3 linked regions of the Macaca fascicularis genome follow. The protein of the gene in region 3 binds, or shares a complex with, the protein of the main gene of each other region. Links are inferred from orthologs where the notes say so. Each region holds a gene or a part of one and is shown on either strand. Other genes may lie near its edges.

Region 1 (10,274 bases), on a different chromosome or scaffold from region 3:
TCATCCCAAAATTTCACAAAATGTTTACAATGCATATCCTAGCAAACCATCAGGATACTGATAACTTTTTAAGCTTGGTGGCTTTGATTTCAACTGGGCATAGGGTTGAATCTTCCAGCTTAAGGTTTATAGCCTGCCTAAGCCTAACTCAGAAGACAAGTGTTCTCAACACCTGAACTTTCATGAGTACTATTTTATGATTTTCATTGCTTTGACTGTTTTTAACTTCTTCCAAAACATACTGACATTTTGATTTTAAATGACCCTGTATTATACAGCAACTGGGCATAGCCCTAAAGTCCCTTAAGGGACCACAGACTCAGGAGACACCATATCCAAGTTAAAAATAGATCCAAGCCGAGCACGGTGGCTCACGCCTGTAATCCTAGCACTTTGGGAGGCCAAGGCGGGCAGATCACTTGAGGTCAGGAGTTTGAAACCAGCCTGGCCAACATGGTGAAACCCTGTCTTTACTAAAAATACAAAAAAATTAGTCAGCATGGTGGCAGGAGCCTGTAATCCCACCTACTCGGGAGGCTGAGGCAAGAGAATGGCTTGAACCCAGGAGGCGGAGGTTGCAGTGGGCCGAGATCATGCCACTGCACTCCAGCCTGGGTGACAGAGAGAGCCTTCATCTCAAAAAAAAAAAAAAGAAAGAAAAACCAAAAGAAAAAATAGATCCAAAGTCACTAACTCCATAATACCTCAAATATATACTTGTACGGCTTCCACTCTATTCTCCACAGGGATGCCAAAGTGATCTCTAAATCACCTTGCTCCCCTGCTAAAAATATTTTGGCTCTCTCTTCTGCTGTAAGATACAGGTAGAAACTTCACTTTTAGCTTAGCAAGCATGGTCCTTCAAAATCTAGACCAGACACACCTTTGCAGGCTCATCTCGAGTCATGCCCACTGTTCCAATAACACCTTATCACTAGTCTTACCCTAACACTTGACACCTCAGTGTACCCACAGTTTCTTCTGTTTAACACGACTCCCTCTCCCCAGTTTGGCAAATCCTATTCAGTGTTATTTTTCGTAAACTGCCCCCACACCCTCCGCAAGTTTAATCATTCTCTATTGCGTTCTCCCACAGCACTCTGTGCACCTATTAAGCCTATACGCTATGAGAGGGCAAAATCAGAGTATTATTTGTCTTTGAATTCTCAGTGTTAAAACACTGTGACTGGCTGGGCGCGGTGGCTCACGCCTGTAATCCCAGCACTTTGGGAGGCCGAGACGGGCGGATCACAAGGTCAGGAGATCGAGACCATCCTGGCTAACACGGTGAAACCCCGTCTCTACTAAACAAATAGAAAAATTAGCCGGTTGCGGTGGCGGGCGCCTGTAGTCCCAGCTATACGGGAGGCTGAGGCAGGAGAATGGCTTGAACCTGGGAGGCGGAGTTTGCAGTGAGTGGAGGTGGCGCCACTGCACTCCAGCCTGGGCGACAGAGCGAGACTCCGTCTCAACAACAACAACAACAACAACAAACACTGTGACCAGTACATACCTTAACGTGTAACTTAAGTTACCAAGAAAATATAAATGGACGAAGGAGAGATAAAGACCAGAGAAGGGTAAAGTGAAGACAGCCTAAATGAGTCCCCATCTTGGATCAAATAACCCCCAACCTCGCTACTTATTCAAGTACCAAAATACAGTACATTCCATTATACTCTAATGCACCCCAGCTATGCATACAGTATATGTTTACAGTTTATTCACAATTTTTTTTTTTTTTTTGAGACGGAGTTTCACTCTTTTTGCCCAGGTTGGAGTGCAATGGTGTGCTCTCGGCTCTGCCTCTCATGTTCAAGCAATTCTCCTGCCTCAGCCTCCCGAGTAGCTGGGATCACAGGCATGTGCCACCACGCCCAGCTAATTTTGTATTTTTAGTAGAGATAGGGTTTCTCCATGTTGGTCAGGCTAGTCTTGAACTCCTAACCTCAGGTGATCCGCCTGTCTTGGCCTCCCCAAAGTGCTGGGATTAAAGGCATGAGCCACCACACCCAGCCTCAGCCATTCTTAATTTCAGATACATAGTGTTTTATTAATCACACTTTGTTGTAAAATGACTACCTTGAGTAATGGGTATAAAGATATCTACAAATCCAACTCTGGTTTTCCCAGTAAAACATACATTTTTAGCTGAGCCTATTAGGACTTTTCCAAAGTGATAAATGCTTTAAAGCAGAGCTTCCCAAACCAGTGGACCTTACTTACATATGGGAATGGGTTCTAAATGTGCTGAACATATTGATCCCTCACCCCTAATGGCCCAACGAATATAGCTGTGAGCTGCCTTAACATTTATTTCAGTATGTCTTACATATATTATCCTTTTCTGTTGCACCACGAAAAAGGTTTATGCTTTAAAGAATATAAGAAGGCAAATATGGGTACTGGAATGTCTAAGCATTAACCAAAATGCATTTTTTTTTTTTTTTTGAGACTGAGTTTCACTCTTGTCACCCAGGGTGGAGTGCAGTGGCAATCTCTGCCTCCCGGGTTCAAGCAATTCTCCTGCCTCAGCCTACTGAATAGCTGGGATTACAGGCATGCGCCACCACACCTGGCTAATTTTGTATTTTTAGTAGAGACAGGGTTTCACCGTATTGGCCAGGCTGGTCTCGAACTCCTGACCTCAGGTGATACACCCATCTCGGCCTCCGAAAGTGCTGGGATTACAGGTGTGAGTCACCGCACCTGGCATAAAATGCATACTTTTAAACTACAGGTACAGTGGGCAAATTCCTACAATGCCTTTACACATTTGTAGTTAGGACCAAATTCTATAAACCAACCTTATGTCTGCTCAAAAGAAAACAGTTTGAAATTTCCCAATAATTGTAGTTTTACTTTGCCAACAACATTTAAGAAACCTGAAAATACCTACAAATTGAACAGGCATATTCAAAAGGAGCTGCCTAGGCTGCATCACCACTATCAAGACACTATGGAAATTAATGATTGGCTTTCAGAGAAAATCGTCAGTCTCACAAGAATATCTATGTCTTTTGTCACCATTTTTAAAAACTGATCAAGACAGGGTCTCACTACGTTGTGACAGTTATCACAGGCTTTAAATACTTCATATTTTTCTGAGACAGGGTCTTGCTGGTCTCAAACACCTGGGCTCAAGCCATCCTCCTTCCTCAGCCTCCCAAAGTGCTGGGATTACATGGTGAGCCATCATGCTTGGCAATTACATAATCTTTTTTGACCATTTCATTAAGCATCTCGTTCACCTACTGAGAAGTGACCTGAAATAACTTCTAACCATTAAAATACCCTCTACCCTCCCAAAAGAACAAACCTCTAGCAATGAGGTCACACACTCGTGTGCTCTCACATGCACACAAACCCAGTGCTTCCCCTCGTAATTACAGTATCATGGGCAAGTCACCTCCACCTTTCTAGGTCTGTTTTCTCATTAGCAGCTGTTCAAATATTTTGTTTAAAACAAAACACCTGGAGTAGATCACAGATCTAAAGATATTAAGCCATTTTTATTCTAATTTTACTCTAAAAGTCACAACATTCTAAAGACTGTGATGGCCAGGCATGTTGGCTCATGCCTGTAATTGCAGCACTTTGGGAGGCCAAGGAAGGAAGATCGCTTGAGTTCTGGAGTTGGAGACCTGCCTGGGCAACAAATCAAGACTCTACAAAAACTTTAGAAATCAGCCGTGGTGGTGTCTGCCGGTAGTCCCAGCTAGTCAGGAGGGTGAGGCAGAAGGATCGCTTGAACCCAGGAGGCAAAGGCTGCAGTGAGCCAAGAACTGTGCCATTGCACTCCAGCCTGGGTGACAGAGTGAGATCCTGTCTCAAAAACAATAAATAAATTAAAGACTGTGATAAATGTCTTAACAGCAATTATCCAAAAAAGCCACCCTTTTGATCAATGGCCCACATCTACTCCTACAGCCTACAAATCTGTTCTGGAGTGGGAAAGTCTAGTATATTGTAAAAAAATACAAAGTGCTACTACACACTATTTTATTTTTTCAGTTATTCACATTCACTCTCTTCCTCTTCAAAGTTAAATTCCCAGATACAAGTAGGCAAGAAGATTCAGCACTAACAATGAGACAATCCACCTGGAAAACAGGTAAGTATGGGAACTCAAATTCAAGCAGATTATCTAAAACACATCAGCTTAACACAGTAACAACAAATCCAAGAAGGTCAAGCGAGATGACCATTCACGATGTTGTCAATGGCAGTAACAGTTAAAAACAGAAGGCTACAGGTGTTGGTTAGCAGGCTCCTCGCGGAAGGCGAAGGAGGTAAAGAGTCAAAGGAAGTTTCCAAAGAAAATAACGATTAGTGTTGAAAAACAAAAAGGAGGGGTGCAATTTGGGTTCCCAGAGAAAACTGCTTCTAGAAACCAGCGCGATCTCCGAGTCCTTAGCAATACTATAAAACAAATCTCTTCACTGCATGCTAAGTGCTTCTTTAACCTGTAATCCACCCCGTCCTCTCCCCCAAAAATCTGCGTTAAACTGCATTTTAAGAACATTTTAGGGGGGGTAAGCAGCGGGTTTCCCGCTCGACAGTAACTGCGGCCGCGGAGTGCGAAGTTCCACACGCGAACCACCCACCGAGCCGCTCCTCCGAAGTTGCCACCGTCTTGGCCCCGAGTCCCGGGACCACGGACTCGCTCCTCCGGCGACGGCAGCCGGGACCGGCCGGGACCCCAGAGCCCGGCGCCGGCCCCTCCCCTCCCCTCCGCCCGCCGCCGTCAATCAACGCCCCCCGGCAGGGACTCGGCTCGGGGGCGCGGCCCGGGGCGGGGCGGGATCGCGGCGCGTCGAGGGCCCCCCACAGCCGCCAGCCGGGGAGCGGCGAGCCCGCCGCCCACGAAACTCAAGTTGCCGCGACCGAGGCCGGCCGACGGGGCGGTCCGTGCGCGGCCGCAGAGAGAAGCGGCGCCCCGGCCGGGCCTCGGGCCTGCCTCGCTCACCTCTCGGGGTGCGCCGCCTTCCTCCGCCGCTGCCGCCGCCTCCTCCCTGTGAGCGCAGCGGGGTCTGACCTGTGGAACCACCATACCAGTCCCGCCCGCTGCTGCAGCGCCGCCGCCGCCGCCGCTCCTCTCCGCCTCAGTCGCTGCTCTTTGTTCCCCCTCCGAGAGCCGCCGCTTCAGCCGCCCGCCTCAGCCGCCCCGGCGGGCCGCCACTACGCCCTCCCGCCCTCTCGGCCCCCGGCCTCGCCCGCCTCGCTGCGCCCGCCGCTGCCTTCGCCTCCGCGCCGCCGACGCCGCCGACACCGACGCCGACGCCTCCTCCTCCGCGCCCCCCTCGTTTTCATTGAAAGCAAACAAGCATCATGGCGGCGGGCGCCGTCCCTCAGCCAGCGAGCGCCCGGACCGCCGCCGGCACGCCAACATCCCGGCCGCTCATTGGCCGCCGTCGCTGGGCGCAACCATCCGGCCTTCGGCGCGGGGGTCGCTGCGGCCCGCCTCGGCCTAGGCCCCGCCCCTCACCCCCGCGCTGAGGAACGGTGGTCCGGCCCGGCGCGCTGCGGGCCCTGCTCCCGGCCTCCCCCGTCCTCTTTCCGTCCATCCTTGGTCTCCTTCTGTTCCCGCTCTCCCCGCTCCGTTCCTGCCTTGGCACTTCTGTTTTCTCCTCTCTGTAGCGCTCCTCCATTTTTCATCTACTTCTTTTTCTGCCTCGGGTGGTCCCCTTTTTTTTTTTTTTTTTTTTTTTTTTTTTTTTGAGACGGAGTCTCGCTCTGTTGCCCAGGCTGCAGTGCAGGGGCGCGATCTCGGCTCACTGCAAGCTCCGCCTCCCGGGTTCACGCCATTCTCCTGCCTCAGCCTCCCGAGTAGCTGGGACTACAGGCGCTGCCACCTCGCCCGGCTAATTTTTTTTTGTATTTTTAGTAGAGACGGGGTTTCACCGTGTTAGCCAGGATGGTCTCGATCTCCTGACCTCGTGATCCGCCCGCCTCGGCCTCCCAGATGCAGGGATTACAGGCGTGAGCCACCGCGCCCGGCCGGGTTGTCCGCTTTTATCTCTTCTCTTCCCTCTTCCTTGATCCTCCTCCCCTTTTTTTCTCCTTTTCCTTTTCCTTAAGCCTTCGCCTGTCATTCACGTCGAAACACAGGTATTTGCCCGGAGCCAGTATCTTGATCTGCCTAAAGACAAGACAATCAGTCGTGAGCAGGCGAATGTTATTCCTTCCTCAATGACGCAGAAAAAGAGTAAGTTAACATACCGTTTCAGTCCATGAATGGTAATTCATTCCAGTACATTAATGGACAGTGTGGTGCTGGGCTCCTAGCCTGAGTAACGGACAACAGCTGCTGTGCGCCAAGATCGAAAGGTGTTCGGGGCAGACTCTGGTGGTTGAAGGTGAGCAGAGAAATGATTGGGCTGATTCATGATGCTTACATCAGGAAATATTAGTTGACTGATGGTCAGGGCACAGAGATGAATCAGACCCCACCCAGCCCTGAGTAAGCTCACAGTCTAGGGGCAAGAAGAACACTCAACAGACTTAATTACTGGAGGTATATTGGTCTGGCGCGGTGGTTCACTCCTGTAATCCCAGCACAGGCCGAGGGGGGCAGATCAGCTGAGGTCGGGAGTTTGAAAACAGTCTGACCAACATGGCAAAACCCCCTCCCTACTGAAAATACAAAAAATTAGCCAGGTGTGGTGGCGGGCACCTGTAATCCCAGCTACTGGGGAGGCTGAGGCAGGAGAGTCGCTTGAACCTGGGAGGCAAAGGTTGTGGTGAGCCGAGATCACACCATGGCACTCAGGCCTGGGCAACAAGAGCGAAACTCTTATCTCAAAAAAAAAAAATTCGAAGTATATGCTGAAGGGTATGGCGTCAAGGAAAAGGAATAGCTGCCTGCCCACCTATGTGGCAAAGTAGGATGGGCTGCTAACTGCTTCCTGGAAAATCAACCCTGAAGAAATGGGAGTGAGACAGGTTCCAGGAACCAACCGTAGCAGCAAACCAAGGCTTCTGCGTCACTGAAGGCTGTTGAGAGCTGGGGATGTGGGAAATGGGTTGCTGTTGCCTGGGGTGGAGGAGACCTGGCTGGAAGGGCAAGGAAAGGATGAGGGAAAAGCTGTTCAGAGATCAAGATGATCTCCCTCTCCCCAGCATGGCCTTGGGATGGTCATTGCTTAGCACTGCCATGGCATCAGTAGTGACAGCCCAGGCCTCTAGGGCCATAGGACACTGGGCAACGATGGCAGTGCAAAAGCCCAGGAGTCAGGAAGAACACATGCAGACCGACCAGCAGGCTGCCTGTGGCCATCCCTGCACAACCTCCTTCCGCCCCAGGCAGGGAGTCGTGCAGCCTGTGTTGTACAGAGCATCCCAGGCTGAGAGGCCAGTGGCACAGACACCCTGCAAGGCCTCTCCTCCCTGTGTGAGTGCCCTGGCCATCTGTGCTCTAGCCTGGGTGCCTTTTTGTAATTTGTATGGCCAGAGGCAGCTACTCTCAGCCCGGTGCAAGGACTCGCGCCTGTAATCCCAGCACTTTGGGAGGCTGAGGCAGGCAGATCACTTGAAGCCAGGAGTTCGAGACCAGCCTGGCCAACGTGGCAAAACCCCATCTCTACTAAAAATACCCAAAAAAAATCAGCTGGGTATGGTGGCGGGCGCCTGTAATCCCAGCTACTTGGGAGGCTGAGGCGTGAGAATTGCTTGAATCCAGGAGGCAGAGGTTGCAGTGAGCTAAGGTTGCGCCATGGCACTCCAGCCTGGGCGGCAGAGCGAGACTGTCTCAAAAAACAAACAAAACCCAGAGGTAGCAATCCCCTCGTGACTGGCAGGATCGTACGGAGGTGGGGAGGTCTCGTTGCACAAAATCTTGGTAGCATAAAGCAACAGTTTTACTGTATCTCGTGATTCTGATGCTCGCCCTTGGGGCCGCATGCCTCTGCCAAAGGTGGCAGCTGGGTGTTGAATATCTGGCACCTTGGTGCCCCCTAACGAGGCCTCCCTCTGCAGTGTCTCATCCTTCAGCCTTTGTGTGTGGCCCCTCTCTCCAGCCGGAGGTGATCCTGCACTTCTTACATGGCAACCAGGGGCTCCAAGAGGAAAGCAAAGCCGCCAGGCCTTCTGAAGAAGGCCACTTCCTCAATATTCTATTAATTAAAGCAGGCACAAGCCCAAGCCAGATTCAAGAGGAGAGGACATAAGCTGTAGAGGAGCTGCGCACACATACAGGGTGGGGTGGACTTATTGGAGCCCTCTGGGGAGACTTGCTACCGCCAGGAGGGTACAATAGTGGCTCTGCTGTGCGTGCCCTGTTCTTTCTGCATATCTAAAGAGAACCCCCGGAAAACACCTACTCACCTTTCAGATCCAGATCAAAGTGCCGCTCACGTTAGGCCAGACCTCCCGTTGCAAGTTATAAAACTCACAACTCAGTATTTCTTTGCAAGAAAGAGGGAATTGAATTGAAAGAGGGAATGCGGACCCATTCAAGCATTGTAAGGTGGCATCAAGAATCAATCTCACCTCCTACCTTCCACCCTACTCTCCTCTCTGCTGGCCTCACACAGGTGGGAAAGATGCCACCAACACCTGCAGGCTTAGATTCTACCAGCTTCTCCACTTAGAGAAGGTGCTTCTTTCCTAATGGCCAAAGACCCAGGGCGGGCTCTCACTGGCCTGGCCTGGGCCCTGTTTCTGCTGCAGCCAGGCAGTACCAAAGCAGGACCAATCTGGGATTGTTATGTGAAGCTAGGACAGCATGAATTGGTGGCAACCAGCACCATCTTCCCACCATGTGGAGAGATGAGACAGTGATGAAGATGTGGAGTCTCAGCAAGGGCCTGACAGTTTGATTTCAGTGGTTTTTTCCTTTAGCCTGTGACCTATACCAGAACCTATTTCAGGTATACAATACTTTTTTTTTTTTTTGCTTAAGTTAGTTTGAGTTTGGCTTCTGTAGCTTACAACCAAAATAATTCTAATTTGACCAGTAAATGCGTTGCACAGATGGATGCGTCACCAGAATAGGGTCCTCATCTGACGTACACAGCAAGTCAGCGCGCCAAGACCCCAGGCTGCAGCACAGGAACAGTTTTAATGCTAGGCCCACGGGATGTGGAGACAGGGAGAAACCACATCTGCCTCCCTGATGAGTCTGGGGCTAGGAATTTCAAGGGTTTTGGAGTGGGCTACAGAGTGGAGCTTGTTGGTTTGTCAAGGAGAGCAGGATGAAGCTGTGTTCTCATGCTGATTTGGTTCCTTTGGATGAGGGTTAGGGGGGTCTTCAGACTGGTTGGCATCGGCTGTTCGACTGGAATTCAGGATCTGCTTGAGCACTTCTTTTATATTTATTTACTTATATTTATTTTTTTATTTTTATCTCTGAGATAGAGTCTTGCTCTGTCGCCCAGGCTGGAGTGCAGTGGCACAATCTCTGCTTGGTGCAAGCTCTGCCTCCCAGGTTCAAGCAATTCTCCTGCTTCAGTTTCCCAAGTAGCTGGGATTACAGAGGCACACCACCACACCCGGCTGACTTTTGTATTTTTAAGTAGAGACGGAGTTTCACTATGTTGGCCAGGCTGGCCTCAAACTCCTGACTTTGTGATTCACCCGCCTCGGCTTCCCAAAGTGCTGGGATTACAGGCGTGAGCCACTGCACCCAGCCTATATTTATTTATTTTACTGTATTTTTGAGACAGGGTCTCACTCTGTCACCCAGACTGCAGTGCAGTGGCGTGATCACAGCTCACTGCAGTCTCAACCTTCTTGGGCTCAGGTGATCCTCCCACCTCAGCCTCTGGAGTGGCTGGGACTGCAGGCACACACCACACCCAGTTAATTGTTGTTGTTGTTGAGATGGGATTTCACCATGTTGCCCAGGCTGGTCTCCAGCTCCTGCCCTCAAGCAATCTACCCACCTCGGCTTCCCAAAGTGCTCGGATTACAGGCGTGCATGACTGTGCCAAGCTGCTTAAGTAATTTTTAAACAAAAGCCTTAGGACTCTAATGTCAGAAATCCCGTCTGTAGTAACAGCGGGGGTGCACAATGGTCAGTGTCTGGGAGCTACATGACTTTCTGTTACAAGGAAATGGGTCTAAGTGCCACCGGATCAATGCTTAATTATAACTGTATTTCTGTCCAGGATTCCTGTTAACTCTCAGAGGGGAGCCTCAGGTGGGTGATTGAATAATGAAAACGGACACCTAGGTGATGGCCATGGTGGTTGATGTTGCTGTGGTGTCTGTCACTCAAACATGACTGGAGCATTGGAATTCCAACCCGGGACTGGTGGAGAACGTTCTGTGGT
Region 2 (9,397 bases), on a different chromosome or scaffold from region 3:
GACACAGGGTAATAGAAAAGAGTTTAATAAAGAAGCTATTTCCAAAGGTGTTGGCTGGTTTAAGGGAAACAAAGCAATAAATGATGCAGTACTCTGCCCCTAGGGGATATAGTAATAGATCTCTTTACCACTCCTGTACCTAAAAGGGAAAGTAGTGGGAGCTGTCTGTCATCAGAACTTGGAAAAAATACAGTTGTAGGAAAGGGCCACATAATAGGAGTGATGGCTTTGAATTGCATGAAGCAGTCAATCCCTGGCAAACCAACAAGAAGGGTACCAGGGGAATATATATTCTTACCTCACTCTGCTTCTGTCCTCTGATCTCCTGCCAGGCTGCCCATTGATCAAATCCAACCAGAAGCTAGAGGGGGGAGGGATTTGCAGTTGATGCAATAAAGATCAGCTTCCTGAGGCACAGAGTGTACTGCAGAAGGGTGATCTGAAGGGGCAGCCAGAAAATATTCATTACAGGTAGCTATCTAGTTTAATAATGTTAGCAACTTTTAAGTGAATTCATTAAGTGATATTTGGATACTGTTAGTAGGTACAGAAGAATGATTAAAATTATCGTAGGACTTTATATTACTTCTTGAGCTCCTCTAAACTACTTTATGTCTGAACTTATATCATTTTACTTTTTATAAAAATAGTTTCTGCATTTTAGGTATCAAATAGAAAACATTAAACTATTACTCTTTTGCTAATACCAAAGCATATGTTAACTTTTGTATATTATCACTACTAGGCTATTTTAAGTTATTTAAGTAAGTAACAATAAGGTTACTATAAGATAACCTAAATGCCTCCATTTGGAATATTAAAAAAGTCACTGAACGTGAAAACATCTTTTTCTTCTTAGCAAATAATGCTGAAATCATTGTTAATAAATATCTGTCTTTAACCCCTAGCCTGATTGGCACTTTAACCACATGCTCCTTTCTTAATCCTTTCTTAAGTTGAATTATTCTCAAGTGCAAGTTTTTCTCCCATTGTATTTGATTTGTTAAAGCCAGTTAGCTGGCATTTGGCAATACAACGTAGTGAAATGTCTTTGGTGCCAGACTGTCATGGTTGGATCCTGATTCTGCTACTTATGAACTATGCAATCTGTGACTAAGTTCCTCATTTTTCCTTTTATTTTTTTGTTTTGAGACAGAGTTGCGCTCTTGTTGCCTAGGTTGGAGTGCAATGGTGCAGTCTCGACTTACTGCGACCTCTGCCTCCTGGGTTCAAGCGATTCTCCTGCCTCAGCCTCCCAGTAGCTGGGATTACTGATGCATGCCACCACGCCCAGCTAATTTTTATATTTTTAGTAGAGATAGGCTTTAACCATGTTGGCCAGGCTGGTCTCGAACTCCTGACCTCAGATGATCCGCCCACCTCGGCCTCTGAAAGTGTTGGGAGTTTACAGGCGTGAGCCACCGCACCCAGCCTAGTTCTTCATTTTTAACAAGGGGGGAATCATGTTATCTACTTCATAGAATTGTTTGTGAGATTTACATGAATAAAGCACTTAGAACAGTGCCTGGCATGTAGCAAATACTAGGTAAATAATAGTGCCTTCTGAGCTATTTACAATACTGATAATTGTGCTTATCACACATTCATTATATCTTACTATCAATCCTTATTACAAATAGAAGGATGACTCTAATAATGCACTAATCATAAGGGTTTTGATACTGTTTTCATGTTTGCTAATTCAGTGGAAGCAGTGCACTTTTCTGAATGCTATTCTTCTCTTCAGCCTTGTATTTTTAGCCAAGTGGTATATTTCTGGCATATAATATTCTTTATAGTGTCAGACTGAGAAAACTCACTGTAGCTCAAAATAAAGAATGATACTGTCTAGCTGACACTAGACATTGAAATGTTAAAGATGCAAAATCTGTTTTTGTTGTAAACGTTTTTTATTAATATGTTCTACTTATATATTTGCAGAGTTGTTGCTTAGAATGGGAAAATGCTAAAGAGATAGTGGTTTGGAATAATTTTCCGAAAACATTTAGGGTTAATGCCTTCCTGGTGAATGCCATCCTAGGTCCTGGAAATTTTTGGCCTGAAGAACCACCAAGAAAACTAAGGATATCTTTGAGTGTTCCTGATATATTTTGTTCTGAAATAGGCAAACATCCTTTGATTCAATTGATTGAATCGTATGAAATGGCTGGTATTTGATTTTTTATTTTTAAATAATGACAAAAGGCAGTTTTATATGGTTCAATCTAAGAAAACCATTCTGAGCCTGGTGGATTAACCTGGTAACAAGTCTTGGCTGTGAAGCCTTGTGTAAGGTCTGAATGCTAAATGGGAGTGTCTCTTTTTTCTTTATTCTACCAGGTGTTGTGGAATACTTAAGCAATGGAGGAGTAGCTGACAACCATAAAGACTTCAAGGAACTAAGGTACAATGAGTGTCTTATGAACTTCAGCTGCAATGGAAAGAATGGAAGCTCAGAAGGGAGAATCACACATGGCTTCCAACTTAAGAGCGCCTATGAAAATAACTTGATGCCTTACACCAATTACACCTTTGATTTCAAAGTGAGTGGCAGCCTTTGGGCAGGTGTAGAAATTATTTCAGATACAAGCATGTAACAAAAAGGTGTAAATTCTTTATGATTAATTGTATAATCTTCAGGAATTTTTAGATTCTTAAAATGTCTAGGCTAAGTATGCACCTAGATATAAGTAGGTTCATTGGGTTTTGTGGCTATTGTCTTAAATTCTTCTTGCTCTCTCGTTTGTTTAGATTTTAAATAATATAATAACAAAAACTTTGAAATGCTCACTAGGTACGAGGCACTTGTCAAAGCACTTTGTATATATCAATATAGTTAACCCTCACCTGCTCAAACCATCCCTAACTTTCAGCAGTAACCTCCCTCCTGCCCCCGACAGAAAAGCACTGAATATAGCAAAACTCACTTTGAATGAATTTATGTAGTATTTTCTCAAGATTTTCTTTCTACCTTCCATTGATGTCTTAGTATCTTTAAATTTTCAGATTTCTTTTGGGAATGGGGTTAGAGAAGGTTGTACTTTGGTTCTATTTTATATCCATGTATTTGTACTAATATATTCCTAGGCAGTGGAACACTCTGAAAGAAAAAGACATTTTTTTGACAAATACACACAAAAAAATGGAAAGGCCGATTGTACAGGACCAGCTCTTCTTTAGAAAGACAGATTGTGGTGGCTTTATGTAATCTCTTTTCCAGTGCTAGTTTTCTGATCACTCTGTGTACCTGTGACTCTGCTATTGTACCTCTCTTTGACTTTCTGGCATTTCAGGCATCTATAGTAGAATCTTACACTATCTGGAAAAATCCAAGTGTTAGAAAGCAGTTTGGTATAAGAAGCCTAGCAGGAATTTAATAAAATGCCAAAGGAAATTTACAAATGGACTCCCTTACATCTCCAATAACCTTTTTCTGTTTTTGTGTGGGTTAGCTCCTTTCCAAGAAACAAATAGGAGGAGGAAGAAAAGGAATTCATGTGTTGTTACTAATCAGCTTTCATAATCATGAAGTGGAAAAAAAAGTGCTTAGAAATTGAATCTAATTTAGTATTTTTGCTATTAGAAAAGATAATTCAATCCAGCGATAGTTCATTTTGGCCCAGCCACTCATATGTAGTTATGTGCTGGTAAACATTTAATAATGAGCTTTTTGGGAAAAAGCTCTGATTTGTGGTGTTTGCCGATTTCTGTGGTTTAAGTACTTCTACTGTAGCAGAATCCAGTCTCCCAACACGATACCATTGAACACAGAGTTAGGAAGAGGTGCTAGAAAAGCTAGTACTAGCTGACTCTAGCACATCATTGCTTTTATGTAAGCTTAAAGGAACACCTTTTAATGGTACACAGTTTACCACAGCTTAAATCCTATCCTTGTAACTATAGTGATATATATCTGCCAGCGTAACCCAGAAAACCTGTGATAAAGTTCCTGAAAATAAGTGTTTAGTAATTCTGCAACTATCATTATTATTTAGGTATGTGTATAGGTAAAAAGAAAAATTTTTTTTTCTTTTTCACATAGACTTTTTTTTTTTTTTGAGATAGGGTCTCAGTTTGTCGCCCAGGCTGGAGTGCAGTGGCAGGATCTTTGCTCACTGCAGCCTCAAACTTCTGTGCTCAAGACATCCTCCTACCTCTGCCTCCCAGGTAGCTGGGACTACAGGTACACACCACCACGCCCGGCTAATTTTTTGTATTTTTAGTAGAGACAAGGTTTTGCAATGTTGCCCATGCTGGTCTCAAACTCTTGGGTTCAAGCCATCTGCCTACCTCAGCCTCCCAAAGTGCTGGGATTACAGGTATGAGCCACCGCACCCAGCCTAGACTTTTTTTGTTTTGAGACAGGATCTCGCTCTGTCACCTAGAGTGGCACAATCATGACTCACTGCAGCTTCACCCTCCTGGGCTTAGGCAATCCTCCCACCTCAGCCTCTTGAGTAGCTGGGACTACAGGTATGTGCCACCATGCCTGGCTAAGTTTTGTATTTTTGAGGGCTTTTTATTTTGGTAGAGACAGGGTTTCGCCATGTTGCCCAGGCTGGTCTTGGGGTAATTTTTGTAATTTGAGGGTTTTTTGGTTTTGGTAGAGACAGGGTTTCACCATGTTGCCCAGGCTGGTCTTGAACTCCTGGGCTCAAGCAATCTGTCCACCTCAGCTTCCCAAAGTACTGGGATTATAGGTGTGAGCCACTGTGCCCGGCCTAGACTTTTTAAAAGCTTATTTCTTCCTTGTCTGTAAATAAAAAAATCTGAGAAACACAATTTGGGACATTAATCTACCTTCCTTAGTCATCTGAATTGGTTTAAATTATTTATCGACAGTCCTTCAAAAGATCTTGTGTTAATAACTGAATAAAAAATCCTATTGAGCCATTTACGTTGTTCAAATAAGTACAGCTAAAGAACTAGAAATGTCTGGCTCAGAGAGTGTTTGATGTTTGGATGTATAAGAGAATCAGAGAGAAGGATAAAGGTGGGAGAGAGTAATATATGGGAAGATAAATAGGCTGGCTGGATAGATAGATGGGATGAGAGGATAGAATAGTATTTGAAGGAAAGATGGCTAGAGACTAAACTAAGGGCACACATGAGTAGAGAGAATTGAGCTCTTAGTCCAACAGAAAATGAACTTTTCAGTTTTATACATATATTTTGTAATGCTATCCCAATATTGAAATCTATCAGTAAAAGAAGATAGGTAACATCAAATGTAAAATACCTTGTGATCAGCATCGAATACAGATCCATTTGTATTAGTGAGGAGCCATTGTATCAGAGAGGTGTTAAATTTTGTTTCTTGGCTTAGTATTTGTTTACTTTCTTGGTCCTTGAACAAAATAGAAATGTAGAAAAGAGGTATTTAGAGCTCAGATTCATTTAATTGCAAACTGATTTGGAATGAACTGAAGAGTAAACAATTAGAAGAATTACTCCTTTTTCAACATTACTTTCAGACCAGGTAAGTTTAATAAACAGCTTAATTCAAACCTGCTGCTGATCCTCACCCCATGCTTATCCTCTAATCTGAGGGTGTGCCTGAATCATTTAATAAAAGGAAGGGCAGCTTTTATTTTATAGCAAATAGTAAACTTTTCTGTTACATTATGAAATTGGTATTGTAATTTTCTGGCATTCTTTTAAAAAACAAAGCTTAGCATAATGGTAACTCAGACTATTAATATTTTCGTTGTGTTTTGACTTTTTTCCAAATACAGTTCTATAGACTTATACAATAATAGTCCTTACTAATATAAAGAGTGCATTTTCCCACATTATTAGTATTATATCTTTTAAAAAAGAAACTGACTCAAAAGGGTTAAAAATCATTAGTCTGTAACCTCCTTTGTGCCTATGATCAAAGTTAGGGATCCTTCTCATAGGTGTATATGTACAAATACGTTGGGTGAATTCAGACATAACCTGGCTAAGGGTTTTGGTAAGAGTTTTTACTCCGGATATTTCAAACCAAGAGAATGATTACAAGTGATGCGTTCAATTAAAAACATCTTACTTCCTGGAGTGTTTAACATTTTTTTCTTGGGGCCTACCTTTGCAAAGAATTCTAGCAGTTGATGTGCATGATGGCACTCTAATAAGGTTGTAAGATATAGGAGGCTTTGTTGCCCAGGCTGGAGTGCAGTGGTGTATTCTCAGTTAACTGCAACCTCTGCCTCCCAGGTTCAAGCAATTCTTTTGCCTTGACCTCCCTAGGAGCTGGGACGACAGGTGCATGCCCCCAGACCCAGCTATTTTTTTTGTATTTTTAGTAGAGATGGGGTTTTACCATGTTGGGCAGGCTGGTAATGAACTCCTGGCCTCAAGTGAGCTGCCCGCCTCGGCCTCTGAAAGTGCTGGGATTACAGGAATCAGGCATGAGCCACTGTGCCTGGCCTTATAGGTTTTATTCCACATAAGTAATTGAGATTATTTCATGTGTTTTATTTTAGAATTGAAGCAAAAAGTTGTCTCATAAGGAGAAATAAAATTACCCTGATCCTTGTTAACTCATTTTCTGAAATATCACTGTAAAACTGTAAAACTAGGCATATAACCAAAATGAAGGGATAATACCTTATGATCCTATCATTTTTTGACCATTTAAACTTGGAGTCCCCTGGACTCATGTAAGTTCCTTAATTTGTGGTAAAGTAGGGTTGGATAAGGGCTTCTTTTCTTTTATTATTATTATTTTTTAAGAGACAGAGTCTTGTTGTCAGCCAGGTTGGAAAGCAGTGGGACAATTATAAGTAGCCTCAAACTCCTGGACTCAAGTGAGCCTCCTGCCTCAGCCTCCCAAGTAGCTGGGACTATAGGTGCATGCCGCCACACCTGGCTAATGTTTGAATTTTTCGTAAAAACCCAGGTCTCATTATGTTTAACCAGGCTGGTCTTGAAGTCCTGGGCTTAAGCCATCCTCTTGCCCCCGCCTCCCAAAGGGTTGGATTATAGGCATGAGACACTGCACCTGAATCTTCTCTCTTAGGAGAGGAGCAGTTTTGGTGTTTTGATATTGGTCAAATGAAAATCAACAAACTGAAATGATTGTGTCCAAAATCTCACAATATAAAAATTTGTTTTCATTAAAAGTTTTTGTGTTTTAAGTAGCCCGTTTCATTATAATACTTTTTAAAGTATTGGCTGGAACTCGTGTATAGTATTTGTAAATAGGTTTTTACAGGTGTAGAAATATTTCTCCCTCCTTGGGCTCAGGCTGTCCTGATACGAATAGGAACTAGATAGGAAGAAATTTGATTTTGCTCTCTTGCATACACAACCTGGGATAATAAAAGCCCCCTGGTTTTGAGACTTACTGATCAGACTAATCAAGTCATTTAGCTCTGAGAGATAAAACTGCTATGTATGGCTTCCTGCTGAATGATTTTTGCTGAGTTATCCTTATGCAGGAAGGAAATCCAGAATTTACACATATTCTAGTATTTGTGAAAATGAGTATTTTAAATTAAGAATAGGACAGTTAACTGTGTAGTGTTTTGTATGTATGTAGCAAATCTGGGAAAGCTAAACTAGGATTAGCAAATTCATAAACATGGTTTACTACAGCTTCAGCCAGGTGTGTTTGGATATCTCGATATGCAAATAATTGAAAATAATACCATTAACTATGTATGCGCTTATATAAATATTCTTATTTTCTACTTATTATAGCCAATAGGATTAGTACAGGTTCCATTATATTTATACTGATATGTTAGATTTCACTAAACCAAGCAGGCCAATTCTAAAGATAACTGGACATAATTTAATGTGTTTAGCTTCTCAAATTATCACTTACACACAAATGCAAGGATTTATAATTCCAGTAGCATGCTGTGTTTCCCTATTGAGCCACCTTTATTTCATGTAATACCCATTGAAGATTTGAGTCTTACTTGACCCACTATCAAGACAACAGGTACCAAAAGAAAAGATACTCAGTTTTTTGTTTTTTATAAGTTATGGATTGTTCTTTATATATCCTGAATTTTTCTTTTCTTCCTATCCCCAATCTCTTTCCAGGGCGTGATTGACTACATTTTCTATTCCAAGACTCATATGAACGTGCTTGGTGTCCTGGGGCCTTTAGATCCTCAATGGCTGGTTGAGAACAACATCACTGGGTGTCCACACCCTCACATCCCTTCAGACCACTTCTCACTGTTAACACAACTTGAACTCCACCCTCCACTCCTGCCTCTTGTCAATGGTGTTCACTTGCCTAATCGGAGGTAGTGGAGTACTGCCCCGCCAAGACGGGGATCTGTTGCTATGGACCTGTACAGTTGTAAATCAAAGTATGTAGGAGTGAAGTATGGCCATCCTTAAGCTGCTTCTTCAGGTTTCTTTCATTATGTGTTTGCTGTAAGACTTTGTACATTTTTGTGCATATTGGTATCATTTGGCAGTAGGGCTGGAACCAAAGTATTACTCTCTTTCCAAAATTTTAATTTAACATGTTTTTAAATTGGACCTCCTTCTTTATATTGTATTAAGAGCCAGCATTCAAAATTGATAAATTACCAATTTGAGGCCCAACAACAGTGTATTTGTTTTTCCAAAACAAATACTTTCTTTTGAGTGGTTTCAGTGAGCCAACCATTTTATAAAAGGCAATTTTTAAAAACTATAAATACAGTATTTTAAACTGAATGATGATATGCCTTCCAGGAAAAACCTTGAATTTTTCCTTTATAACTGATTTTTGGATTCCCAAGTCATTTGCACATTAACAGAGTACTTAAATTTGCTCGTTCTGTACATAAACTATGAGATAGCCTCTACACGTTGTAAGAGAATTTGAAAAATTAAAGATGGTTGTACAATATGCTTTCATAATCAAGCATGTAACACCACAGGACAATTTGTTGGCCAAATGCTAGTTTGGGGTTTTTTTGAGGAATCAATTTGGTTTTTTTGTCCTCTCTATATAACCTTGTTGGAAGTATTAATTCTAAGCCTGTCTCTCAAGTTTATTTATAGAGAAAGAGTAAGTAATCTGTATTGCCACATACCTTGAAAATAGAATGCGGTACATTTAGGATGCCCACAGAATGAATTTTTCCTTACTCCAATTCAACCTTCTTTCTGTTCGGTTGTGCCAGGAAAACAGATGTTATATGACCTATATCATTTTTGCCATTATAGTCAAACGTTAAAGAAAATCTGAATAAAAGGACCTTGATCAAAGTTTCAGATAGGGAAAATCATACAGATACTTTATGTGTTTCCAACATAGATTATGGGGCTCTTGGTTTTTTTGAGATGACAGTGCAAAGGATTTGGGAGAGAGGGAACACATTTGGGGCAGTAGTTGAAAACCTTGGGCCATTGTCCTGACTCTAGCTGCCAAATGGCCATCATATGCTTTTAATCTTTGTTT
Region 3 (10,533 bases):
GGGAATAACTTAAAGAGATGTATTGTACAACATGGTGACTATAGTTAAGAATAATGTATTGTCTTTTTGAAAATTGTGAAGGATGTTTTTGCACCTTCAAAAATGATAAGTATGTGAGGTAAATCATGTGTTAATTACCCTGATTTAGCAGCTCCACAATGTATATATATTTTAAAACATGATGTTGTACACCATAAATATACAAAATTTTAATATGTCAAAAAAAAAAAAAAAAGACTATCTCAGATGTCAGGTTAACCAGTTTGGCTGTATTAAATAAAGTTTGGCCTGACATACTTATAAATATACCTAGAATTTCTCATAAGCATAGATTAGAAAGATTATGGCTCCAATTTTTTGTCTAATTTCAGGCCAGACATGTTCACTCCCATAAAAACTACACCCCTAAAGCATTACTTTGTCCAGTAATCTGTTCAGCATATGACTACCTCAGAATAATGGTGCAATAGTATGTAAAATGTAGCATCAATGATATGTTATAACCTATTCTCATTATAACAAACTATTTGCTTTCAAGTTTTTAATGTTTCTCAATGAATGTTTATAATTTTTAAAAATGAGCAGCTGTTGTATATTGCCAGAAAGTCAAGCTTGAAACAAAAATTTCCTACTGCTGCTTGTCTTTCAAACTTCTGTATCAATTCGATTAAATATCTAGGATCTGCAAGATGATCAGATGCAAACAAAAATAAATCTTCCATCAACACCTATTTTATTTAATAAATCACGATTTTCTCTATAAAGTAGCGTTAAAATAAACGAGAAAGAAATTAGACTCTAAGTACAGTCTGAAGATGAAAATGGCCTTCATAATTCTCAACTTCTAATTTTCTTATTGACCAAAATAGCTTGTTTATAAACATAAATGTTAAGTTTTAAACTTATTTTAAATAATATATATAAAATTAAGATAATGAAAGTCCTCTCTGCAAGCTGTAAAACATTTTTAAAATATGAAGTAGCAAAGCCAAAAGTAGTCAGGTGCTTGGAATGGCACAGTAAACCTAATATTTTATTTTACTGACCTATGAAAGATTCTTACAAGCAGAAAACTAAATACAAAATTTACATGCAGGATAGGCATAATTTACAAAGTAGAAAATAATACAAAAGCACATTCTTGCCAGATATGACACAAAACCAAATGTTCCTCTCTCAAACACATTGTATTACATAATCAGTCATTACGTTTTGTCCAGATGCTAATACAAACTGGAGCTGTTACAACATCTGAATACACAAATGGAAAAATAGTATATCAATATGTTTGAAAAACAAGCAAGTCTACTCACTGTTACCTAAATTGCCAGGACACACAATTTTCTCTCACTCATTTATCATTAGTTTTTACTAAGTTTTTACTAAAACTTAGTAAAAACTTACTAAATGTGCATTTTCATCTACTCACATATAAGGAAAGACATTCCCATTCAGAAAAGGCAGAGAAAGGATTGGTGTCTTGAGTACTGGATCATATTCCCTTTTTAAAAATATATACTCTGTATCTTTAGCAGCTCTTAGTCACTAAAAGGTCTCTGGAACATATACAGGCAATTAAGACATAATATTCCTAAAATCATTATCAGTATTAGCATATCTACTAAAATGATATTCTGGGAGTCATCTATCCTGTTTTGATTTCGACATCTCTAAAATGGGCACAAAACTGGCTCACAAGCTCTTAAACAAACCTGTAAAGGCCAGATGTTTCTCAAAATCGCCGTTTCAGATTTGAGAAAGGTAAAATGTTGTATGTATCATATATGACATAACATCTGCCAATGGCAACACCTGCAGTCAAACACGTGAACATTTCCATATGAAAAAGTGGGAAAATCAGATTAAGAAAGATGATAATCAGATTCACAGGTATAATTCCAGTTGATATTTTCTCACCTTATTCAAAACAAAACTAAACAAATGATCAACTTTCAGAGCTTTTTAAATTTTGGACCTCCAATAAGACACATCTCACCTTATTTCCATAAGGGCAATTTTATTCAAACTAGAGAAATCCTGCTTTCTACTAACCAATGGGCCAGGCATTAAGAGGAAAAAGGTGAGAAAAACAGAATCTAACTTCAGAAGCCCCAAATATAATAGGAGCTCATGTGTAAGTACTGGTAAACATGTTACCTTGTAAAGACAAATACAAAATATCTCCTTCAAATAATGGCCATAACCACACATAATACAGCAAGAAATACAGACCTAAACATCCTGCCAGAAGCAAAACAGGGTATTAATCACTCTATTACTAACATCCTCCCCTAATTCCATACTAACTCAACACACAGTTCTCTAAGAAGCTAGTTATCTATTTTTCCATATGTAATTAAGAAGCAAAACTGTAAGACAGGATTCAAGAAAGTGAAGGAATACAGGATGCCATTCTTCCCACCACTTTTCCAATCTGTTGCTTCAGATCTGTGGATTGTGAAACAGTACTGACAAATGACAATCTAGCAACAGTTCAGTTTAATAGATACGTATCTATTATACGTACCTACTAAGTATTATGCACTATAGAGGCATTTGAAACATGAACATAAACAAATCAAAGCCCTACCTCTCAGGTGCTCCCAGTCCAGATGGACAGTAAATTACAATACAGTGTGACATTCTATAATAGAAGTTTGAAGACTAAAAAGCAATACAGCAGAAAGATTTGAGGAGTCAGGAAAGATTTATGAAGAAAGTGATACCAAAGAGGAGTATAGAAGAAGTTCATCAAACAACAGAGAAGTGAAAGATACATAAAATATGCACCACCACCCTCCCCCACACACATACATGCAATAACATACACATGAATAAAAGGAATAGGATGGGCGTGGTGGCTCACACCTGTAATCCCAGCACTTTGGGAGGCTGAGGCAGGCAGGTTGTCTGAGGTCAGGAGTTTGAGGCAAGCCTGACCAACATGGTAAAACCCTGTCTCTACTAAAAATACAAAATTAGCCGGGCGCATGCCTGTAATCCTAGCTACTCAGGAGGCTGAGGCAGGAGAATCACTTGAACCTGGGAGGTGGAGGTAGTAGGGAGCCAAGATCGCGCCATTGCACTCCAGCCTGGGCGAGGAGCAAAACTCCGTCTCAAAGAAGAAGAAAAAAAAAGAATAAGGAAAGGAAAATGTTCAGGGTTAAGTGGCAAATAGTCCAAAATATCTAACTATATATCTAAGTGGACTTAGATCCTGAGTCTAAGCATATACAAAGCACTCAAGTGCCCAGAAAACGAAAAATTTCCCATTTTTTTCTAAATAATTCACTTTTTTTGTATTTCCATATTATATATCATGAGCTCTTGACAAAAAGTAAACATCGTAAACTGTTTTATTACTTTACAATGCAGCACACCCCCAAGTGATATACCAACGGATACCAACAGATTTGCAACTGTATTTCAGAGAACGAGCTGTCAGAAAACACACTATGAATTCTATTTCCAGGACATTCCTAATAGTATAGACAAAGTAAATAAATGAACAAGCCACATCAGCATGATTAGTCATAACAGTTGAATTCTAAAATAGAAATCAAAGGATGTTAAACAGAAAAACTAAAGAAATAAAACCCTAACTTTCATTCCACTTCAAGGCAAACTTTCTTTTTTTTTTTTTTTTTTTGAGACGGAGTCTCGCTGTGTCGCCCAGGCTGGAGTGCAGTGGCCGGATCTCAGCTCACTGCAAGCTCTGCCTCCCGGGTTTTTACGCCATTCTCCTGCCTCAGCCTCCAGAGAAGCCGGGACTACAGGCGCCCGCCACCTCGCCCGGCTAGTTTTTTGTATTTTTTTAGTAGAGACGGGGTTTCACCGTGTTAGCCAGGATGGTCTCGAACTCCTGACCTCGTGATCCGCCCGTCTCGGCCTCCCAAAGTGCTGGGATTACAGGCTTGAGCCACCGCGCCCGGCCTCAAGGCAAACTTTCTACAACGACATCAACTTTAGCACAGCTCTTTTCAAAATATCTGGTATAAGTCACAGTGAAATTCAATCCCTTTAAGTATCACAGGTAGAAACCGCTCTTAGTAAGGAAGAACAGTCACCTGTATCATCAAGCAGAATAAGTTCTACCATAGCACTAGATCCCTTGATTAACACTGTATATAATTCCACTCAAACATTACAGTACACCTCATATTAACTCTGCCCCTAAACTGCCCTACCTGGTACCTTGGATCTTTTGCCTCTTTGTGTTACAAAATCCCCTACAGACCCAGGTAACAAATAACATCATAAATGTTTGGTTGTATATTTTCCTAAAATCTCAGGAAAATTTTAACAAATTTTAACAACAAAAAAACAGCTATTGTTTAACATTGCTTTTAAAGAGCAAAAAAATAAATTGTAAGCTAAGTGTTTTTCACTAGTCTATTAATGCTTACTCATTATTTCACATATACATGTGAAGCATACATTCTATTTACATTATCAGAAAATCTTATGAAGTCTGTCACTAGAAAACATAAAACTATAACTTATACAGGTTGTAAAAAATTCTGTAATGGTCTTTCAAAATATAGGTACTTTTAATACCAGTATCTACTAAAGGAATACAAATGAGAACTGGGTTAGAAGCACTTCTAATAAAATCTATTCATACACCTGAAAATTTTATTTACTTTTGAACAAATAATTTTCAGGTTATAATAACTGTAAAGCATCTCTGAAAAATCAAAAAGTGCAACACCCAAAGTTATAAAGGAAAAACAAAGGTAATTAGTCCTTGTAGGGAGGTATATGGGAAGTTGTATCATTCTGAATTTTTTTGTTTTTGTTTTTTGCCCAGCATCATAAGATAAGCCACATTCTGAGTTTTATCTTCAAGATCAGGTACTTGGGGATATAAATCACTCACACACAAGCATTTTGCCCTCCTTTTCCACCATATAAATTAAAGTATTATAGAAACTGAAAAATTGTATAGGCTGTATGTGTTGCTTGGTTAAACAAACAGGCAATTCTCATTCCCTGAGATCAGATTAGGTTACAGATATCTCTACATTGTATACTTAAAAAAAGATTCCTGCCAACAAATGTTTACATTAACTTATTTGTATTGATGAAGTACTAATTCAGATACAAAAAAAAAAACTTTAGCAGAGTTTCTCACTTCCTCTCTAAAATACAAAGTATTCACAAAAGTTATTACAATTCAAGCTCTCAGAAAATATGAGAGAAAGATACCTTTTCTACAATAAGGATCTTACAAAGTCAAGAAATAAGTGAGTAGAGTGGAACATGTTTTGTCTTTAAGTGTATTTTGTATTTCTTTTTCTTTAGATTTAACATTATAAAAGAACTACAAACTAAACAAATTCAACATACAGAGCTTACTAATTATCTTGGTCCATTATAAAACATTTCAATGAACTGGGCTCTGAATATAGACACTTAACCATTTCAGCCCACTATGATTCTTAACCCTTTCAATTCGCAATCTTACAAAATTATAAGAGACATATTCATTGACGTTTGGAAAGAACTGTTGTCAATTATGCCAAGCATTCCCAAACTCAACATAAACCTTGTATGTAAATGGATACTTTAAAATTTCTATCTCATCCCTCACCCCATACTTTATTCTTTCCACTTATCTTGCTTCAAAAGGGAAATCAAGAGTCACACTTATGATTCCGAGCTCTAAAAATTCCTAATATCAAGCATGAAGTATGTTCAACTTTGGAACCTTAAATTTAAGTTGGCTTCCCTCGTGAACTGACTTTGAGTACTTTTTACCATTTCGCCAAGAATCTAAGGGTTCAAATCAGTGTACTTAATTACGAAGAACTGCCCAAACGATTTTAAAAGGAGTGGGATTCTCTGACCAAGAGTTTTATGAAAATGAAACAAAATATGTTGCACTCAGTCTTCCGGATGTTGAAAAGTGAAGATGTCTCCAAGGATTCGAAGGAAGTTGTTTAGGTTCCTTCTGAGAGGGTGGTACCCTTATGTAAGACTTTTGTGGTGGTAATACCGTACCTACAGGCCTGGAATAAATATAAAGTCTAAAACCTTGGAAATACTTTGTATAAAAGAAAACTACAATTCACTTTTGCTAAGGACCACAGTCACCAAGAGTCATCAGCTTTCTCCCGGACAGACAACAGTGCCTCAATTAAGAACTACAAAGGCCTCTTTTAACCCTACTCTTTTCTTCTGTGAAACTTTTAAGTGAGACCTACAACAGCAAAAGGTGGAGAGGCCCCTGCGGAAGTAGAAAACCAGGGCTTGTAACTTCACAGACAGAAGCATCTGTGGTTCCTCCGCCGCCCCAGGACCATCCGGACTCAGTCTACGACACTACGGAAGCTTCACCTTCCTGGTGCGGTGGCAGAGGCAGCATCGCAGTTGCATTCCTTCTCCCTCCACCATGCACAGCCTTCGGTATCCCAGGGCCTGCAGGCTCCTGACACCCGTTAGCCAGTCCAGTGTCTCCCATCTGACACTTACACACACACTAACAGAAATACACATAACTGGCAGATGATATACGTGTATTGAGAATGTAAGGAGCCAGAGACAGCACCAGCTGCTGGGAAGGCGGCAGAGCCGTCTAAAGCGGGCTCGAGCTCCTCAGCCACGGCCGCAGCCGCCTTCTCTTCTCCCCCAGGAAGCAGCGCGGCGGTAGCGGCTCCTCCGCGCTGGCGGGAGCCTAGGGGAGTGGAGTCTGGGGAAGCCCCGCCACTCGCGGATGGGACCGGGCCTAGGATGTGGAGCTGCTGCTGCAGCGGCCCGAGTACAGCGACGCTTTACGTCCCGTCCACCACCACCCCCATACACACCCCCTCCCTCCCTCCACCGCCGCCACCCCCCCTCCCCGCCCGCTCCGCTCTCCCTCTCTCGATTGGAGCCGAGACAAAAGCAACGGGAAGCGGCGGGCCGGGACGCTACCGGCGGACCCCGGGCGCGGCCGGACCGGCCCCGGGGCATTCCCCCGCCTTGCGGGGGCCCCGAATCCGCCGCCCCCGCCGCGCGCCCCGCTGCCAGACTTCCGAAAATTTGCCAAAAACTCACCGCATGAATTTTCTTGTCCCGCGGATCCAAGATGGCGACGTATCCACCGCGGAGGCTGCTGGGAGCAAGACCTTTACCCTCTGACCGCCGCCGTGACCCCCGTCGCTCCGGCTTCCCTCCGGGTGGCGGCGGAAGGTGGGAGCGGCGACTGCAAAGCAGCAGCGATGGGGTGGGTAGGCTGCTTCCAGCGCGCTTCTAACAAGGTGGAGAGAGGCGCTTCACTCCCCTACCGCCCTTACCGCTGCTCCGTCTTGTCTCCCATCGACTCACAGGGAGGCTTGCTGCTCCTCCGCGGCCGTTACAGAGAGCGGGGCTTCTGCGGCCGCTACCGTTTTCCTGGGGCCAGGTTGCTTCGCAGAGGGCTCTGGCCCTAAGTCCGAGGGGGACCGCAGGGTCCAGGGGCGATGAATGGTGAGGTGGCTTCAGTCCGCCCTCCCCGGGGATGCTGAGCGTGTTCGTGTTTGTGTTTGTGTTGGACACCCCGCCCCCGCACGTCCGCCTCCTCACTCCTCCCCTCCTCATTCCCGCCACCTGGGCGAATTTAACCGTGTCCCCGTTTCCTCCCTTAGCTCCCGCAACCTCCGGAGCTTGTGCGCGTACTTCAGGGACCGGCACCACGTCACCGTCACCTTCTGAGTAGTGAGTTCCCCTCTGATGAAACCACTGGTGTATTTACTCACCATCCTCACCTTTTTTTTTTTTTCCCCCCCCAACCTGGTGGAAGGAAGTACATAATGGAGAGCAAGTTTTTAAAGCACGGTCGTGTCGTGTGAACTTGCTCTAGCCAAATTAGGTTTATAGCACTTTTTCTGACTCTCATTCCCCCCAGTCTCCACATAAACAAGAGTGACCAGCTGGGTCATCCGCAAGACCATTTGAAATTATTGTGGCTTGGGTGGAAACTTAAAGGAGTGAAGTATCTGCTTTCCAGAAAAATCGTTGTCGTTCAAAGTGAAATTAAACTTTTCTTTGCAATAATACCCCTTTATTTCTTTGTATGTCTGTAAACTCTTCACTTTTTTTGTAATTACTAGACATTTCGTTCTTAAGAGCCTCTGCATGTGTGTTTTGGAATTGTGTAGCTTCATAATGTGAAAAATTGTCCTTTTCTATTTGAGTAATTAATTTGAAGTAAATAAAATTTCTACTTCACTTGGTTGTTTCTTTTAAAAATTCACCTTTTCTTACAAAAGAATCACTGTAATCTAATTTAAATTTGTCATTGAAGGTCAAAAATAAGAAATAGCAAGAAACACAACATACTATAAAATAAAAGGTAACTGTCATGTTTTTGAAGGTAAGGTGTTTTGACATAGCAGACATTGTGTGAATTTATTTCAACTCCTAGTGGTACTGGTGTAGACAGAAAATGTTTTACTTGGTTATTCATTTCATCAAACATTCTACTTCATTTTTTTTTTTTTCCACTTCAGGAAAATTCGAGGAGGAACAACACATTGGTGTCTTTCCTTCTTTTCTCCCCGTCTTCTCCAAATAGTCCCTTCCTCTTTCTGCTTTCTCCTCCTCTCATGTTAACATCTTCAACCATAAGATGGTGTGTTAAAAGATTGGTTATACCTCTATAGAATGACTTCCAGAGGGTGTAAGTCTGATTTGAGAGTTTTATTACCTTGAGTATTTTACTGGAGGAGATAGAACAACAAACATTTTTATAATAAACGTGTGGGTTAGGAGTGTTAGGAGAAAATACACTGATACTTACTTTGACTCACTGAACACTATTTGTTTAGGATGAATTCACTTTAAGCCATGTTGAAGAACAAGCCTTTAATTGTCCTATTATTTGTGCCAAATCTATTATAAATTTGTTAAAATTGTTTTAATACCTACCTTAGAGGGTACTCTAGGTATTTAATCACCTAGCATTTGTTAAAGGCTTGTGTAGTAAGAATTCTTACTATAAGAGTTACTATTCTTACTATAAGAATAGATGCTACATTTTTTGAATTATCCTGTTGCATCAAAAAGTTCATCTTCATTGGTAATGTTAATCAAGTTTGCCCATTTGGTAGTTTGGTTTTCTTTTGACTATCTTAATAGATTGTCTTTCTTTTACCTGAAAAGTAGTCCATACTAATAGGCACATGTTTTGTGTATTTCCAAAATATGTGTTATGTTAAATTCTCTGTACACTTCATTTAAAAATTACAGACTTTGAGGAAAAAAAATACCCTATTAAGGGAAGAATGAGTTTGTGTATAACTTGTAGAAGAAGACGGCTACCCATTTTTAGAAAACTATGGATGGTATTGAAAATTTTGCCATGGCAAGGGATAAAAAGCACAGGCTTCTCTAATGTGTCTAAAACAACATTTGAATCCCCTTTGTTCATTCCCTAAATCTCCTGCTCCTTTAGAATTCCTGATTTTCATAAATAGTACCACCATTCACTTATTTGCTCAAGCATAAAACTTGGAATTTTCTGTGATTCTTCACACTCATACAGCTCATCAGACAGTACCATCAATTCTGCCTGACAAATATATTCTGAATTTAGCTGCTTATCACCTCCACCGCTACAGCCCTTGGGAGCCACCATCATCTCTTGCTGGACCACGGCAATATCCATACTAGCTGCTTTCACTTTCTATCTGTACCCTCATGAAAATTTTCCCATTCAAACCATTCTCTATATACCAACCAAAGCAATCATTTTAAAAATGTTATTAGGTTATGTCACTCCCTTGTTTAAAACCCTCCAGTAGCTTCCTTATGCACACAGAATGAAATCGGAATTCCTTACCATAGCCTTCAAGACTGCATAATCTGGCTCCTGCCCACTTCGTTCTTACTGCCTCCTTTCTGTCGTGGGCTGAGCTCTTTGTAGTCTGTAGCAGAGCCTGTTGTCCCCCAAAATTCCATTTTTTTCATAGTAGTAGACATGGATACATGGCTACCCAGAACAAAGACTGTATTTTGCAGCCTTTCTTGTAGCCATGTAACGGTGCTGGCTGATGGGATATAAGCATTGTATCATGTGGCACACTTGTAAAACCATCCTTAAAAGATAGTTGGTGTACACCTTCAATGCGGCTTTTCCTTTATCCTGTACCATGGACTATAGAGATGTGATTTTGGAACTCTAGCTGCCAATTTGTGTCTCATGCAGGTTCTCTCATACTAGGGATGGCAAAACTGGTGGAAACCAGGGTCCCTGAGGACTTTGTGGATGAGAGCACCATGCCAGCCCTGCACTCGTAAATGTCTATATTATTACACCCGCTATTTTGGGGTCTCTTGTTCTCAACTGAATTTAATCTTACCTGATACTCTGTCTCAGGGACTTTGCACTTGCTTTTTATTTTTTATTTTTATTTTTTCAGCCTGGGATGTGGTTTTACTGTCTTGAATATGGCTCATTCGTTCTCTTCCTTCAGGTTAACCCAAATGTATCTGACAGGCCTTCCATGGCCACCCTATCTAAAATAGCTCCCATTCCCATTTATTGTCTATCAATCACGTGCCCCTCTATTT

What was found.
Region 1: CNOT2 (region 3) and CNOT6 share a complex: the UniProt entries of both Homo sapiens proteins name them as parts of the CCR4-NOT complex. The link is inferred for Macaca fascicularis from reciprocal best matches to the Homo sapiens genes CNOT2 and CNOT6.
Region 2: CNOT2 (region 3) and CNOT6L share a complex: the UniProt entries of both Homo sapiens proteins name them as parts of the CCR4-NOT complex. The link is inferred for Macaca fascicularis from reciprocal best matches to the Homo sapiens genes CNOT2 and CNOT6L.

The regions. Positions count from the first base shown.
Region 1 is NC_088380.1:187,397,316-187,407,589, reverse strand, and holds the start of CNOT6 (CCR4-NOT transcription complex subunit 6), read right to left. Parts: upstream 4,563-10,274; intron 4,293-4,562; coding exon of another isoform or gene 4,214-4,292; intron 4,104-4,213; 5' UTR 3,999-4,103; intron 1-3,998. Other genes in the region: uncharacterized protein, read left to right, coding at 4,214-4,292, 4,563-5,722. UniProt on the Homo sapiens protein: Poly(A) nuclease with 3'-5' RNase activity.
Region 2 is NC_088379.1:56,141,382-56,150,778, forward strand, and holds the end of CNOT6L (CCR4-NOT transcription complex subunit 6-like), read left to right. Parts: intron 1-2,340; coding exon 2,341-2,543; intron 2,544-4,065; coding exon 4,066-4,344; 3' UTR 4,345-4,526; downstream 4,527-9,397. UniProt on the Homo sapiens protein: Has 3'-5' poly(A) exoribonuclease activity for synthetic poly(A) RNA substrate.
Region 3 is NC_088385.1:76,972,967-76,983,499, reverse strand, and holds the start of CNOT2 (CCR4-NOT transcription complex subunit 2), read right to left. Parts: upstream 6,732-10,533; 5' UTR 6,649-6,731; coding exon of another isoform or gene 6,527-6,648; 5' UTR 6,409-6,526; coding exon of another isoform or gene 6,197-6,408; intron 2,620-6,196; coding exon of another isoform or gene 2,564-2,619; intron 1-2,563. Other genes in the region: uncharacterized protein, read left to right, coding at 2,564-2,619, 6,197-6,408, 6,527-6,648, 6,732-7,241, 7,608-7,677. UniProt on the Homo sapiens protein: Component of the CCR4-NOT complex which is one of the major cellular mRNA deadenylases and is linked to various cellular processes including bulk mRNA degradation, miRNA-mediated repression, translational repression during translational initiation and general transcription regulation.